2 linked regions of the Drosophila melanogaster genome follow. The protein of the gene in region 1 purifies or fractionates together with the protein of each later gene. This does not show direct contact. Each region holds a gene or a part of one and is shown in the gene's direction. Other genes may lie near its edges.

The links. Proteins that work in one complex are often made in the same cells at the same time.
Region 2: the proteins of Amyrel (region 1) and Synd purify together in Drosophila melanogaster (affinity purification with mass spectrometry, with the first as the bait; one large-scale study listed by BioGRID). This does not show direct contact.

The regions. Positions count from the first base shown.
Region 1 is NT_033778.4:16,649,728-16,655,069, reverse strand, and holds Amyrel (amylase related), read left to right. Parts: upstream 1-2,370; 5' UTR 2,371-2,372; coding exon 2,373-3,026; intron 3,027-3,082; coding exon 3,083-3,910; 3' UTR 3,911-3,975; downstream 3,976-5,342. Other genes in the region: nach, read left to right, coding at 24-385, 445-1,422, 1,489-1,592, 1,648-1,865.
Region 2 is NT_033777.3:20,830,671-20,839,662, forward strand, and holds the start of Synd (syndapin), read left to right. Parts: upstream 1-2,128; 5' UTR 2,129-2,203; intron 2,204-3,726; exon of another isoform or gene 3,727-3,795; intron 3,796-4,554; 5' UTR 4,555-4,557; coding exon 4,558-4,661; intron 4,662-5,204; coding exon 5,205-5,314; intron 5,315-6,914; coding exon 6,915-7,252; intron 7,253-7,364; coding exon 7,365-7,591; intron 7,592-7,654; coding exon 7,655-7,775; intron 7,776-7,842; coding exon 7,843-7,953; intron 7,954-8,005; coding exon 8,006-8,217; intron 8,218-8,387; coding exon 8,388-8,545; intron 8,546-8,620; coding exon 8,621-8,727; 3' UTR 8,728-8,992. Other genes in the region: CG31223 (uncharacterized protein), read left to right, coding at 518-546, 606-1,761.

The DNA.
Region 1 (5,342 bases):
GAAGGATTTAGTTAGCAGTTACAATGGGCCATCAGGAGGAGCTGAAGCCGGAGCAAGTGGATCTGAAAGTAACCCCCTTTGTGGGCTATCTGCGACGCACATGGAGTGACTTCTGTGCCACCAGCAGTATCCATGGATTGAAATACACTCGTGACGAGGATACGAATAAGATTGTGCACCTGGTGTGGCTCTTAATATCGGTGGTGATGTTCATTTGTGCTGTTGTTATGGCGCGCACCTTCTACATGGACTATCGCAGCAGTCCGACGCGTATGAATGTGGAAAGTGATAACACACCGGTTAATAGACTCTATTTCCCACCTGTCACAATTTGTCCAGATGTACTCTTCAACATGCAAAAGTCCGAGGCCTTTCTGAACACTCTGTAAGTGTATGTTATTTAAAGGTCTGTACAAGGATGTGCCACTTGATTTATTCCTCCAGTCGACTTCCAAAAGGAGCCGAGCTGAGGGGCATTCTACGCAAACTTCACATTTTCTACGGTTTTATGCTAGATGATGAGCGCTATTCGGCGGAGGACATCGAGCAAATGGAAGCCCTTCTATTCCTAAATAATCTCACAATTCCGGAATTTGTAGAACACTTACGCTGGAATTGTGACGAAATTCTGTATCGCTGTAGGTTTAATGGTGAAATAATGGATTGTTCCAAGATATTTCAGCTTTCCAAGACGTTTTTCGGTCATTGCTGTTCATTCAATTTGAGACAAAAAGGGTGGGTAAATAACAAACTAAATAATTTAGAGAGTTTTAAAGTTTTCCATTTGAACAGTTTGAACTTCACCGCCCAACGAGCAATAGGTGGCCTTAGATATGGCCTGTCAGTGGTTGTACGGTATAAAGACGACAACTACGATCCATTGCAATCGTATTCGTATGGCGTAAAGTTATTGATCCAAGAAGCAGATGCCTTTCCCAGTGCCCATTCTGCTGCAAAATTTATAGCCTTCAATTCGGAGACATTTGCTGCAGTTAGACCTCAAGAAACGTTTTGCTCTTCTGCTGTGAAAGCTTTAATCATCGAAGAGAGAAATTGCGTTTTTCAAAATGAGTTTCCCATGCGTTACTTTTCCGATTATGTATACCCTAACTGCGAGCTAAATTGTAGAGTAACGAATATGGTCAAGTTCTGCGGTTGTCACACGTACTTTTTTGATTTTAATCGCACTAGCGATCGGATTTGTACATTTCGAGATATTCCTTGTCTAGTGGATAATTTTGGTAGGTTATTATTGATTTGCTCAAAATATAGCGATTTTAATAGATTGCTTTCAGCCAATATAATTACAAGAAAGAAAAGTACCCAGTGCTACTGTCCGCTAACCTGTGAACACATTGATTACGACGTACAGTTGACGAATTTTCCCCTGGAACTGAATATGCCGGTGGCCGATAAGTTCTAGTAAATATAATAAAAGAAATGCTGGTGAAGCATTTATTAACAGTTATTAACAACTTTTTATTTCAGTTCGGGCTTAGCCAAAAACGATGGTGTATTGCATGTCTTTATCAATTCGTTTAGCTACCGCCGATTGCGACGTGACTTGCTTTCCAATATGGTTACTTTGGTGTGTAAGTTGATTAAAATACTCCTTTATGAATTTGTATTAAAAATGTCAATTTTCAGCTAATCTAGGCAGCGCCTTCAGTCTTTTTGTGGGCATGAGCATGCTTTCGGTGGTAGAAATTATCTACTATTTTTCAGTAATTTTACGCAAGAACTACAAACTGGAATGCGAAACTCGCAGTCAGATGCTTCACAAGAAGCCGAAGTTCGCGTGGCCCAAAGCTAATGACACTCACAGTAAAGAGCAGAAATCAGTTTTCATAATTCACAAATCGTAATCAGCACGATGGGCGAATGCAAAAAAATATTGCCATAAATTAGAGCAATAAAATCGATTTTAAGCTGACTATAAGGTCCGAATGAACTTTGATATACTCTTTTGGAGGCGGTTCTTGTTTTCTTTAGGAAGAAATACATATACTTTTATTGTGTTGTCTTGAAGAACTAACATTTAAACTTAGATTCGAATTCGATTATGTGATGTGATTGTAACACAAGCTTTAAATCCTATGCAAGTTACAATGTTTATGCGGTTATCTTTTACGGGACTAAACCAAGCAGCCGCCTGGTAGGAAAATCCAAGATACCCGCGAGTTGCAAATATCTATCCTACTATCGCATATTGCCATAGGTCAGCCAATGGACATTGTAAATCTGCCCCCAATCTGGGGGCGACCATCTGGTGGTCGTAAATTGGACCCAAGCGAAGCAAATCCGCGATAAGATTGTCCGTGGGGTATAAAAAGGGGAAATTGCTATGAAGATTACTCACAGTATATACGGTCATGTTCAAGTTCGCTTTGACCCTGACGCTCTGCTTGGCGGGCAGCCTTTCGCTGGCCCAGCACAATCCCCATTGGTGGGGCAATCGCAACACCATCGTCCACTTGTTCGAGTGGAAGTGGTCGGACATTGCCCAGGAGTGTGAGAGTTTTCTCGGACCTCGAGGATTCGCCGGCGTTCAAGTGAGCCCCGTTAATGAGAACATCTTATCGGCGGGTCGTCCGTGGTGGGAGCGATATCAACCCATCTCGTACAAGCTGACCACTCGGTCTGGTAATGAGGAGGAATTTGGTGACATGGTCCGTCGTTGCAACGATGTGGGTGTTCGTATCTATGTGGATGTGCTGTTGAACCACATGTCCGGAGATTTTGACGGTGTGGCTGTGGGCACTGCTGGAACAGAGGCGGAACCCAGTAAGAAATCCTTCCCAGGAGTTCCATACACCGCACAGGACTTCCATCCCACCTGCGAGATTACCGACTGGAACGATCGCTTCCAGGTGCAACAGTGCGAACTGGTTGGCCTCAAGGATCTTGACCAGAGCAGCGACTGGGTGAGGAGCAAGCTAATTGAGTTCCTGGATCACCTCATCGAACTGGGTGTTGCTGGCTTCCGGGTGGATGCCGCCAAGCATATGGCATCGGAAGATCTAGAGGTGAGTTTAGCTTTTCCCAGTTTGGAACGATTAGTTAATGGTGTTTTTTTCCGCAGTACATCTACAGCAGCCTGAGCAACCTGAACATCGATCACGGCTTTCCTCACAACTCCCGTCCCTTCATCTTCCAGGAGGTAATTGATCACGGTCACGAAACCGTCTCCCGTGATGAGTACAAGGATCTGGGTGCCGTCACCGAGTTCCGATTCTCCGAGGAGATTGGCAACGCCTTCCGTGGCAACAACGCACTGAAATGGCTGCAGAGCTGGGGAACCGATTGGGGATTCTTGCCCTCGGGTCAGGCCTTGACCTTTGTGGACAACCACGATAACCAGCGAGACGCGGGTGCCGTGCTGAACTACAAGTCCCCCAGGCAGTACAAAATGGCAACCGCCTTCCATTTGGCCTATCCCTACGGCATCAGTCGGGTGATGAGCTCATTCGCCTTCGATGACCACGATACCCCGCCGCCGCAGGATGCGCAGGAGAGAATAATTTCACCCGAGTTCGATGCGGATGGAGCCTGTGTGAATGGCTGGATTTGCGAGCATCGTTGGCGTCAGATCTACGCGATGGTGGGCTTCAAGAACGCCGTTCGGGATACGGAGATCACCGGCTGGTGGGACAATGGAGACAACCAGATCTCCTTCTGTCGCGGCAACAAGGGCTTCCTGGCTATCAACAACAACCTGTACGATTTGTCGCAGGATCTGAATACCTGTCTGCCTGCCGGAACCTACTGCGATGTGATTTCCGGCAGCCTGATCGACGGATCCTGCACCGGCAAATCGGTCACTGTGAACGAGAATGGCTATGGCTATATACACATCGGATCCGATGACTTCGACGGTGTACTGGCCCTGCATGTGGATGCCAAAGTTTAAGTAAAGGTAACACAGAAATCTGGGCTTTATTTTTGTCTCAAATTACAATAAAAACGAACGCACATAATGTTGGAAGGTATTAGCTCTAACTATTCGAGTATGTTTGTGAGCGGTAACAATAGCAATAAAAATGCAAAGTAAGGTATTTAACGCGATTCGATTCGATTCGTTTTTAACTGGACTTAGTCTAACAAATGCCACGACAACGACATCCTGTGAATAAACAACCGGAAAAGCGGAATACTAAATATATGTATATACATATGTAGTATTCAGTATATAAGCTGGGCAAACTGGGCCTACATCCACATCCGATCCAGCTGGCACACTGTGAACGTAAACCCGCTCTGCAAATAGAAAAAGTTGGCATTGTGAAATTGTAGTTGGGTGTTCTGGCCGGAATTGAATCCGAATCGCTACAATTTGCTCCATTGGCGATCACCTCTCACAAGCATTCAGAGGCGCAATGGAAAATCGATCGAAAATATGGTAAACTGTTAAGCGATTTGGTCAGCGACTGTTTGGTTAGTTTCAAAACAAGCAACTACAAATCAAAATAGCAACGTTTCTACTGGCATTCCGATTACGAGTGTTACGAGTTTGTAGTTCTGGATCGATGGATCCATTCAGATCCCCAAGAAGTCGGCTGGTGGCAATTTGATGTGTGGTTATCGGTACGATTAGTTACCATTTGATTGGAATTAAATGCTTATGAAGCGTAATTACCTGTAAAATGCTGATATCTTGCTTCTTAGGAGTAACTCGCTAAAAACGGTTCTTACTCCACTTAGAATATAACATAGATCTGTGTATACTTTGTAAACTATGATTCTTTAGTTACTCTGCTTAAATTTAGGCTTGCTTTACTCAGGGTTACACTAACTTTGACTAACAAACACAGAGTCCAAAAATGTTGCTCAAAGTTTAACAATAATTATTAATTAATTTAGTAATACAATTTTTCCACTCTTCGCGCGGCACAAAAGCAAATGCTTTTCCTAAATTTTAAGATTTAAGTACGGCCCCAAGTCCAGCTTTAATATACAAACATTTACGCACACCCAGATGCGCATAATTTTGTTTTGATCTTAGTCTTAGGAGCTAACTAGAAAATCTTGTCTCACCTTTTGCAATAGCAGCGCAGTTCGGTTACATTTAGATTTAAATCATCATCTTAGGTTATTTAGAATCATACAATGTATATTGATTATATTATGCCATCAAAAATTTGTAATACTCGCGTTTGCTAACACGCATATAATTATAGCTATATAACAGGAACCACGTAAAAATGCACAAATACTTAGAATATTATCTCTTTCTGATTTCGGTTTTCACATTAATTACAACATCAAAGTGTGAACTCTTATGCACATGTATACATATATAAACTTTTGATCTATTGTTGTTTAAATAGTAATCAGGTAAATCG
Region 2 (8,992 bases), on another chromosome or scaffold:
TGGGTGGAGGTGGTACGGTCATATTAGGTCCCTTACTGTTTATTTGCAGTTATATTTTTATTTTTAATTAATTAAGTTGTTTTTCATTTATATAAGCATTTTCAATCTCTCATAAGTCTTTTTACATTTAAAGTACTTAAATAATATATTATTATTCTCTTTTCATTGATGTTCGTAGTTGATAGGTGTATTGTTTAGTTACAACGAATTTTTGTAAAAAGACTAACTAGTTAATATTTAAATATATTTTATCTTTAAGGTTCATATTTGATATACATAGTTATTTGCTAATAAATTCCTATGTAAAAAACAAGAGAAATTGCGTAATTCAAATTAAATCCAACTCTTATAATATCTAAGTCGTATAATTTGTTTACAAACAACTTTATTTTGTTTACAACAAAATAAAAACTTATCCATTTGAAAAGCCGTTACTTAACGAATCGTGGTTACGGTCACACTACAGCGATCAGCTGTTGGCGACCGCACTATTTTGTTTATTCCATTTTGTTTGACCATGTCGGAAGCCGATGAAAAGTGTCACTTGTAAGTAGTTAACAAGTAATATTAATTATAGCGGTTCAATATATATTAATCTCCTGCAGCTGTCGCGAGGTGTCCTTCAAGTACACCTGTCCCAAGTGCAATGCTTTGTATTGCAGCGTGGGATGCTACAAGTCCAAGGAGCACCTTAAATGTTCCGAGGCTTTCTACAAGTCCTGCATTCAGGACGAGCTGACCCAAAACACGGTAACGCAGGAAAGCCAGGAGGACATGCGGAAAATATACGACATACTGAAGAGGATGAGAGAAACGGACAGTGGTTTCAATCCCCAGGAATTTGATACAGATGGCCTGGAAAATAGTTTGGACTCGGATGGAGGCGAGGAAGGAGAGTCAGAAGAAGATGAGGCGGAAGAAAACGTCACCGAGGGGGACATACTGGATGAAGACCTGGAGGAAGACATTGCAACTCGACTGAAAGGCGTTGATATCAACGATGCGGATGAAGTTTGGAGCCGGTTAACTACAGAGGAGCAAGATGAGTTCCAGAAATTGATCACCAATGGAGATATCATGAAGCTTATGCCAGACTACAAGCCCTGGTGGATCAAGCCGAAGAACTCTAAGATTGTGATTATACCTACACCCGAAGAAGCTGCCAAGAAAGAGAGCCGTGTTCCCGAAATTTTCGGGAGCATTGCCAAATTCTCCGATATATGCAAGAAAACTCCGTCTCCGTGCCTGCACTACAATTTGTGGAACATACTAAGCGCCTACGCCTGTGTGGCTCGTTTCTTTGGCGGCGAACAGAGGACCAATGCCAGCGAGGCAGTGGCCCACCTTGTCAATCTCAGCGCCACCTTAAAGTACGGCACCAACTTCGAGGATGCTGAGGACGCTATTGTCTCCGTAGAGATGGAAGCCATCACCACGGGTAATGGTCCTGCCGGCGCGGCTGCAGTTGGAAGTGCTGCAGGAGGTGCCAATTTCCTCGTCGACAACAGGGAGCAGCTGCAGCAGGATGCCCGCCAGTTGATGGCTACGAAGGAGCACAAGTTGGCCGCCCTTAGTGATGTTCTCTATCTGCTGCAGCAGACGAAGGCAATCAGTCGCCGTAAGAATACCCAGGAAGCCGAGTTCCAGAAGCTGTTCGCTTTGGCCAGCGGAAGTGTGCAATTGGATCGCACCAAACTGGCGCAACTGGTTCGCAAAATCGAGTTTATGCTGTCGTATGTGGCGCGGGAAGAAGTCCTTTAAGCAATCCTCTAAAATAAACATTTCAAAATAATTCTGTTTTTATATTGTCCACAAAATTTGGAGCGGTATTGACTATAGATTGATTGTTATTTTATTGTTTTATTTTACTTGGAATTTAAATACAACTATGTATAATTAGTGTACACATTTTGATTGGAAACTTCAGTATTTTAAGGACTTAAAGAACAAATTGGTTTAAGTAAAACTTGACTTTGTGCTAGTACTGTAACTAGTACTTAAAAATATGTACAGATGTCTTAAAAATAAATGTATATCCTAAATACATTTCGGTATTTTTGTATTCGTATGGAGCGGTATTTTCAGCTAGCCGCGAGGTGTATTTGAATGGTCGCGAAACGGTCACACCTCACATAGTTTTTTTAGTTGGCGATTCCAGACACACACTCGAGTTGTAGTGCTTTTTTACGCTATTTTGTTATTGGTAGGTTGTCGCCCTGCTTCGGTATGAACAAGTGCCAGAGACCCAAAGCCAAGGATTATTTAACAACCATTTAAATGCAGTGCAGCTGCAGCAGCAGCAACAACAAAAGCGATCGCAATTTAGAACAGAACATTTCATGTAAACGCGTTTGGGTGTAGCGGAATTTCGCTTCCCGTGTGTTTGTGTGACCTAGCCGAGCGTGTGTGCGTGTCGGTGTGCGTCTGGCAACAACAAAATCCAATCGGCCAGCAAGTGCTCTTCGTACGCTTCGCCTGCTAAAAATTAGTGCACAGCGAAAGCATTTTAATAGCAGCGCCCCAAGAAAACCTTATGTAAGGTGTGCTGGAAAACGATGCAAATATTTACAGTAGAAACGGTCGAGACAAGTTCAATCTCAAAGATAAACGAGTTTCTTGGTTGTTTGGCGGAGGGGGATTTCTTATCGCCTAAGTGTGCGACGTGTTGGTTTAGATGTGCATATACGTATGTGTGTGTGTGTGTGTGGCGCGAGTGCTTGTGAGAGCGCCGTAAAGGTGCTTATCTATCTCCACAAATATGCGAAGTATGCGTCAACCTGTTTGTAAACTTTCTGCTGGCCATTTCCACACGCAAAACACGAAAATCGCACTGAGCCGCGATCCTATATTTATATTTATAGCCGATGATGGGGAAAATCCGTAAGCGCATCGTGAGTCGATGACGCCCAAATCAAGTCAACCCAAGATACAAGATTCCACATTCAGCAGACCCAACATCACCAATCTACACATGTGTGTAGGTGATTAAACTTCAGCAGAGGTTATTATACATATATAAATAAGAAAGCATGTATATAACCGGTCAATGCTGCTGATAACATAACCGTTATTCACCATACGGGTGTGTGCGAGTGGAACTCAAACTGACTGCATTGTTTACAAACAGCTGATGCAGGGAAACTCCACTCCACTGATAAGATACCAAGATTTCCCATCGCCGAGTATGAAAAAATTTAGCTCGCTACACAGAGAGAATTGAAATGTTAAATGTTGTCACACGTAAGGGTCTCCAATACGATGTACACTGCTGCTCTTAGGTTAGACGCACAATCGTTTTTTTTTTAACAAAATCGATCATTTATTTGCATGCTTTTTTTAATTGTCCAAAATGCTTTTCTTATCAAAGTTTTCTGTTGGTCATTGAATTAGATGCAGCTTAAATTTCTTCGTATTGCGTGGACAAGTATAAACTGTTGTATTGAAAAAATATAACAAATAAACGAATAAAGTGTTTTCGAGCTACATTTGAAGAAAAAATGGGTAAAGCTGCTGCTTATTGGAACGTCAAAAAGTAGACTTCCTACACTCGCAAGGATTGCCTAATCGGAACATTGCCAAACAGATAAATCGCAGCTGCAGAACTGTTGATAGATATTTGAAGGTTCCAGAGGCATATGGGAATAACTTCAAAGGAAAGAAAAAAGCACTATCAAAGCAAGCAGAACGCCAAATTGTTAGAATTGCTTCGAATTCTAATTTTCGAATTTGTCCGGAGTAAAAACAAGCGTATCAACTGTTCAGCGTACAATCAGAAATGCAGAACACCTGAAGCGTGTATGTATATTAAATTTCAAATTCAATTTTTGGGATCTCATTTATCTGGGTTACAAAATATGGGTGCATGAGAATTCCCTTGATAAGATGAAACTATTACGGTGGAAAATGTATGCTACACAGAAAGAAAATCTGTCAACATTATCTATTTATCTCAAAAAACAGAAATAATATTTGAAAGCGATACTAAAAATAATCGAATTCAAAATAAATTACAAATATTTATTTATCTTAATATGGTTAAAAATATGTTTATTTTTTAGTTTCGAAGAAAATTTTTTCAATTAAAATAAGACATTACCTTAATATTCCAATTTGAAAATAGTAAACCCATTGGCAGAACACCATGCAAAGTTGCACAATGAGTCAGGGGTGATAAGTCCAGTCTTTATCAATGGGGACACTCGGCGAAACCGTCAAGAAATATGGTCGTTGATAAGGCTCCAGTAATTAAAGTTCTGCCTGTTGCATCAATGTGAAGGAATTTCTTAATTGAACAAATTAGGCAAACAATAAATTTACTCAGAGCCCGTCTCGTTTGGGTTTACTATAGTATGTCGTTTAACAAACGATTTGTTGGTCTTAGCCAAACACTACAAAAATACAAGTTTGCGTATAAACAAAGAGCTTTTTGTTGTTGCTGCTGTGTGGAAGTTGTTTATGTCTGCAGTGTCTATTTACGTAACAAAACTCATATTTTACGATTATTGCGCTTAAGCCCGTCGTATGTGATTGATTAATATTGATTGGAATCCACAGGAAATGTCCCACCACAGCGATGATCAGCTCCTCCAGGCTGGAAGCGATTCCTTCTGGGAGCCCGGCAACTACAAACGCACCACCAAGCGGATCGAGGATGGTTACAAGTGAGTGGATAATCCCCAGGGAGTCTTGGTGCACAGAGAGATACTTTATTTTGCCATTATGTCAGTCGAATTCCTCGACATAATACAATTGGCTTAATATTCAAAAACATATTCGTAGCTGCAACCCAATCGTTTTTCAACGTTTCTGTCATACCAATTGGTATTGGTAACTGTATCTTTTCTGTGTGTTTAGTAGGTCATGCAGTGTCATCACATTGTTTTGAATGCAAACTTACAGCAATTCGTATTTATTTAAGGGAAAAAAATAAGAAAATATAAAGACCTTGGTATAAGCATTGGTCTTAGTATTAACTCAATTTGTTCTACTTATGTGGACATTTCATAAACTTTTTTAATGAGCTTTGATTTCTAGTGATACAATCAATCTTTTTAAGCAAATAGGTAATGGGTTCTCTCTGTGTATTTGCACTGGGCGACGCTGGGTCATTGCCAGCCGAATATATCGACACCCGAAGCCCAAACCCAAGACAAAAATTCAAACCGGTTTGCATTATTATGATTCTTGTCTCATTTCGCCCGCAGACTCTGCAATGACCTACAGCAACTGATTCAGGAGCGTGCCGACATCGAGAAGGGATATGCGAAAAGCCTGCGCACCTGGTCAAAGAAATGGGGTGAACTCATTGAGAAAGGTAAGTGAGCGGCAGGTGGGGATCTGGTGAGATATGGGGATGTGGGTGGCTGTGGCCTGTGGGATGAGACATCATCAGTCGTGGAAGCCTTCTGTTGGCCAACACATTCATTCACGAGCTAAAAGCCCAGTGGAGCATCAAGTGACCCGCTCACGTTGAATTCCCACCACTTATTTGGCCCACTGGCTGTTCTTATTTTCTACATTCTGTACATCATTCTGAGCATTGTTGTTGCCGTTGTGCGATAAGTGGCTTAAGCTATTAATGGTTTTTTTTACGTTTTTCGTTACCTCGTTTTTGTCGGTTGTATTCTGCAAAAGCTGCGCACTGTGGTTCAAAATCGCCACACCAATTTATTTAAGTATGTTAATGAGCGGGGCTGGCAAAGTGTTTGGATTAACTAACATAAACATATGCATACACTCTTCACACTCTTCATTCTAAACAATTAAAATTCGGCAGCGGAAATCTTAAGTTTGTACAAGAGAAAATAATAAATAAATAAAGAATCAAATATCTGTGGGTTTCTGCTTTATAGTAATATACAATTTTTATTTTTTGATATATAAGTTATATGGGTTCTTAAGGTTTTATTACCTTGCTATTGCCTCATATATGTACTTCTATAAGTACACACTACCAAATACTATTTTCGAAAACGGCGGTAATCATCGACTCACTCATTGTTTTCGGAATTGGGTCTTTGACCATTTTTAGCGGATGTCCGGCACAGTGTGCGCGCTTCTTCGTAAAATGAAATCGAGTACAGCGCTTGCGAAGTTGGAAACCGCTTTGCCCCATTGGTACTGTTTGCTTCTATTGCTGCTATTTTCTGTGACCGCCTCTGCACGGAATTCTCAGTGTCCACTTTCACAGTAACCAGCGATGGGCAATTGCAAAAGCGACTACCATCACTTCCTCCGCCTCCGAGTGCTCTTCGAGTTTTCTTATTTGCGAGGAATTTGCCTAGCCGCGTCTAGCCAAAGATACAGATACGAATACGTGTGCAGATACAAATACAGATACAGATACGTTCACAGTTACAGATACGGAGACTGGGAGGCAGAAGCGCTGGACAGTGGCCCATAACTCGGCACCAAAGCAAACCGGCACCAGAGCGTCGCTTGAAATGGTTTCAAAAATCAATGCGACGAGAAAATAGAACGAGTTATTTGTGTGCTAAGCGTCTCAATTTCTATATATCTGTTTGTGTGCCTTTTCACAGGGGGAATTGGGAATAGTGAGTCGTTAGGCAAACGAGTTCCGTGCACTGCCAATTATAAGACGAGCATCATATCAACTTGATTGCCGTGTGTTTGGGGTCCCAATAAAAAATGCCAAAAATGTACGATGTTCCTCCATCGCAGCACCCATACAAGCGCTTATTCTTCGGGCATTTTATATTTGCTATACCTATAGATATGGCTACATATGTATGTTTGTATATATCTTGCGGCTGCGGCTGATTAGATAAACCAAGTACCCGCGGGGCTCACGATGACGTCAGCCGCAAACAGCTCGACAGGGTGACACGCTTGTAATCTGTTGTTAATTGAGAAACGCTAAAAGAGATATATAACGAATGTCTGATTTGTTTCAGGCCCGGAATACGGAACCACGGAGGCAGCCTGGAAGGGCGTTCTGACGGAATCGGAACGCATCTCCGACGTTCACATGAAGATCAAGGACAATCTCTGCAACGATGTGAACAGCCAGATAAAGACGTGGCAGAAGGAGAACTACCACCACACGCTTATGCAGATCAAGGAGCGCAAGGACCTGGAGGATCTGTTCAAGAAGGCCCAGAAACCCTGGGCCAAGCTGCTGGCAAAGGTCGAGAAGGCCAAAGCGGACTACCATTCGGCCTGCAAGACGGAGCGCAGTGCTACCAATCAGGAACGCAATGCCAATGCCGATAGCTCGTTGTCGCCGGATCAGGTAAGGATCTTTTTTGTAAAAGCAATAGTTTAGTTATACATATGTATGTATAACTATTAATTTAATTTATTTATTAATTTTATGCTCACACCACTTCTCATTTCCTAATTAGGTGAAGAAAATGCACGATCGAGTGCAAAAGACCAAAGATCAAGTGCAAAAGTGCCGGGAAAAGTACGAGCAGGCGATTGCCGAAATCACCAAATACAATTCGGTGTACATCGAGGACATGACATCCGTGTTTGAAAAGTGCCAAACCTTTGAGAAGACGCGTTTGCAGTTCTTCAAAGAAATCCTGTTCAACGTGCACTCGTGCCTGGACCTCACAAAAGTGCAAAGGTGCGAATTGAATTTGATTTGAGTTTAACTGATCCATTTAAATAACTTTTACATGACTTACAGCCTGCCCCAAATCTACGAGGAGTTCTCCCACACGATCAACAATGCAGACCAGCAGAAAGACCTAAAATGGTGGTCGAACAATCATGGCATTAACATGGCCATGAATTGGCCATCATTTGTGGTGAGTTTTCTGTTTTTACTGAAGCCCAGTGTGGCCGCTAATGGAAGAACTTCCTATTTGTTGACAGGAATATACGGAGGAGTTCCGTGACATTGCCAAGGGCAACAAATCAAAAGAGGCACTGCCGGCAGCACCCATCACGCTCATCAACCAGCGACCTGTGGCCGAGGATGTGCACGTAAGCCAGTTGACTACCCAGTAGTTAATATCAGACTAAGCCAGCTCTTTAGCAGGAATACCCCCAGACAAACAGCCTGAAGAAGAACACCAGCACCTTGAGCAGTGTCAGCAGCAGAGCGAGTGTGAAGAGCGAAATAGCGACCACGCAATCCTCAGTCACCACATCGGAAGCCAAAACATCGGCGGCGGTTGCCGGCGCTGCGACGGCAACGGCAGCAGCAACAGCGGCGTCAGCGGCATCCAATCGCAACTCGAGCGTAACGTAAGTTGAAACAGTTTGTATTGTTTTGAATTACACTTGGACTGCCTGATGGCTTGATGGCTGAATGGTTGTGTATGGCTGTATGGCTGGCTTGCTCGCCAATCCAGAGACACGTCGCGTTGAATGCGCTCATTTTCATTGAACTAATTGATTTCAATTTGTATACACAGCAACGGCAACGGCAAAGTCGATGCAAATCCATTCGACGAGGAGGAGGAGTGGGACGAGAGCGACAACGTGCTGGTGGACAACGGTGAGCCAGGCGTGCCGGTCAAAGCGCTGTATGATTACGAGGGCGCTGAAAGTGATGAGCTCACATTCAAGCAAGGTGTGTAGAAGCCCTCCATATGATAATCTCCAACGGTCACCGCTCACCGCTCGTTCGACCCTTTTACTCTTTCAGGTGATGTTTTCGAGAAGCTCGAAGATGAAGACGAACAAGGCTGGTGCAAGGGACGCATGAATGGGCGCGTCGGACTGTATCCGGCCAACTATGTGGAGACCGCGTAAGCGGGCGTAGGGGAAGAATAGGGGAAGTCGTTAAGCAGTTATATACGCGCAGATATGTATATGCAGCATAACACAGAGGTTAGAGACGCATTACGGATTGCGTATTCAGTAAAAGAGTCGTTGATGAAAAATTACCATACATATGTATTAGAAATTGTTATGAGCAATCGCTTGCACTATTCGTACTTATCCGGACGATAGTGCGGCATCTAAGGCATTGGGCATCGAGTGGATGCAGCGATCCCAACACCGATACCGATCATCC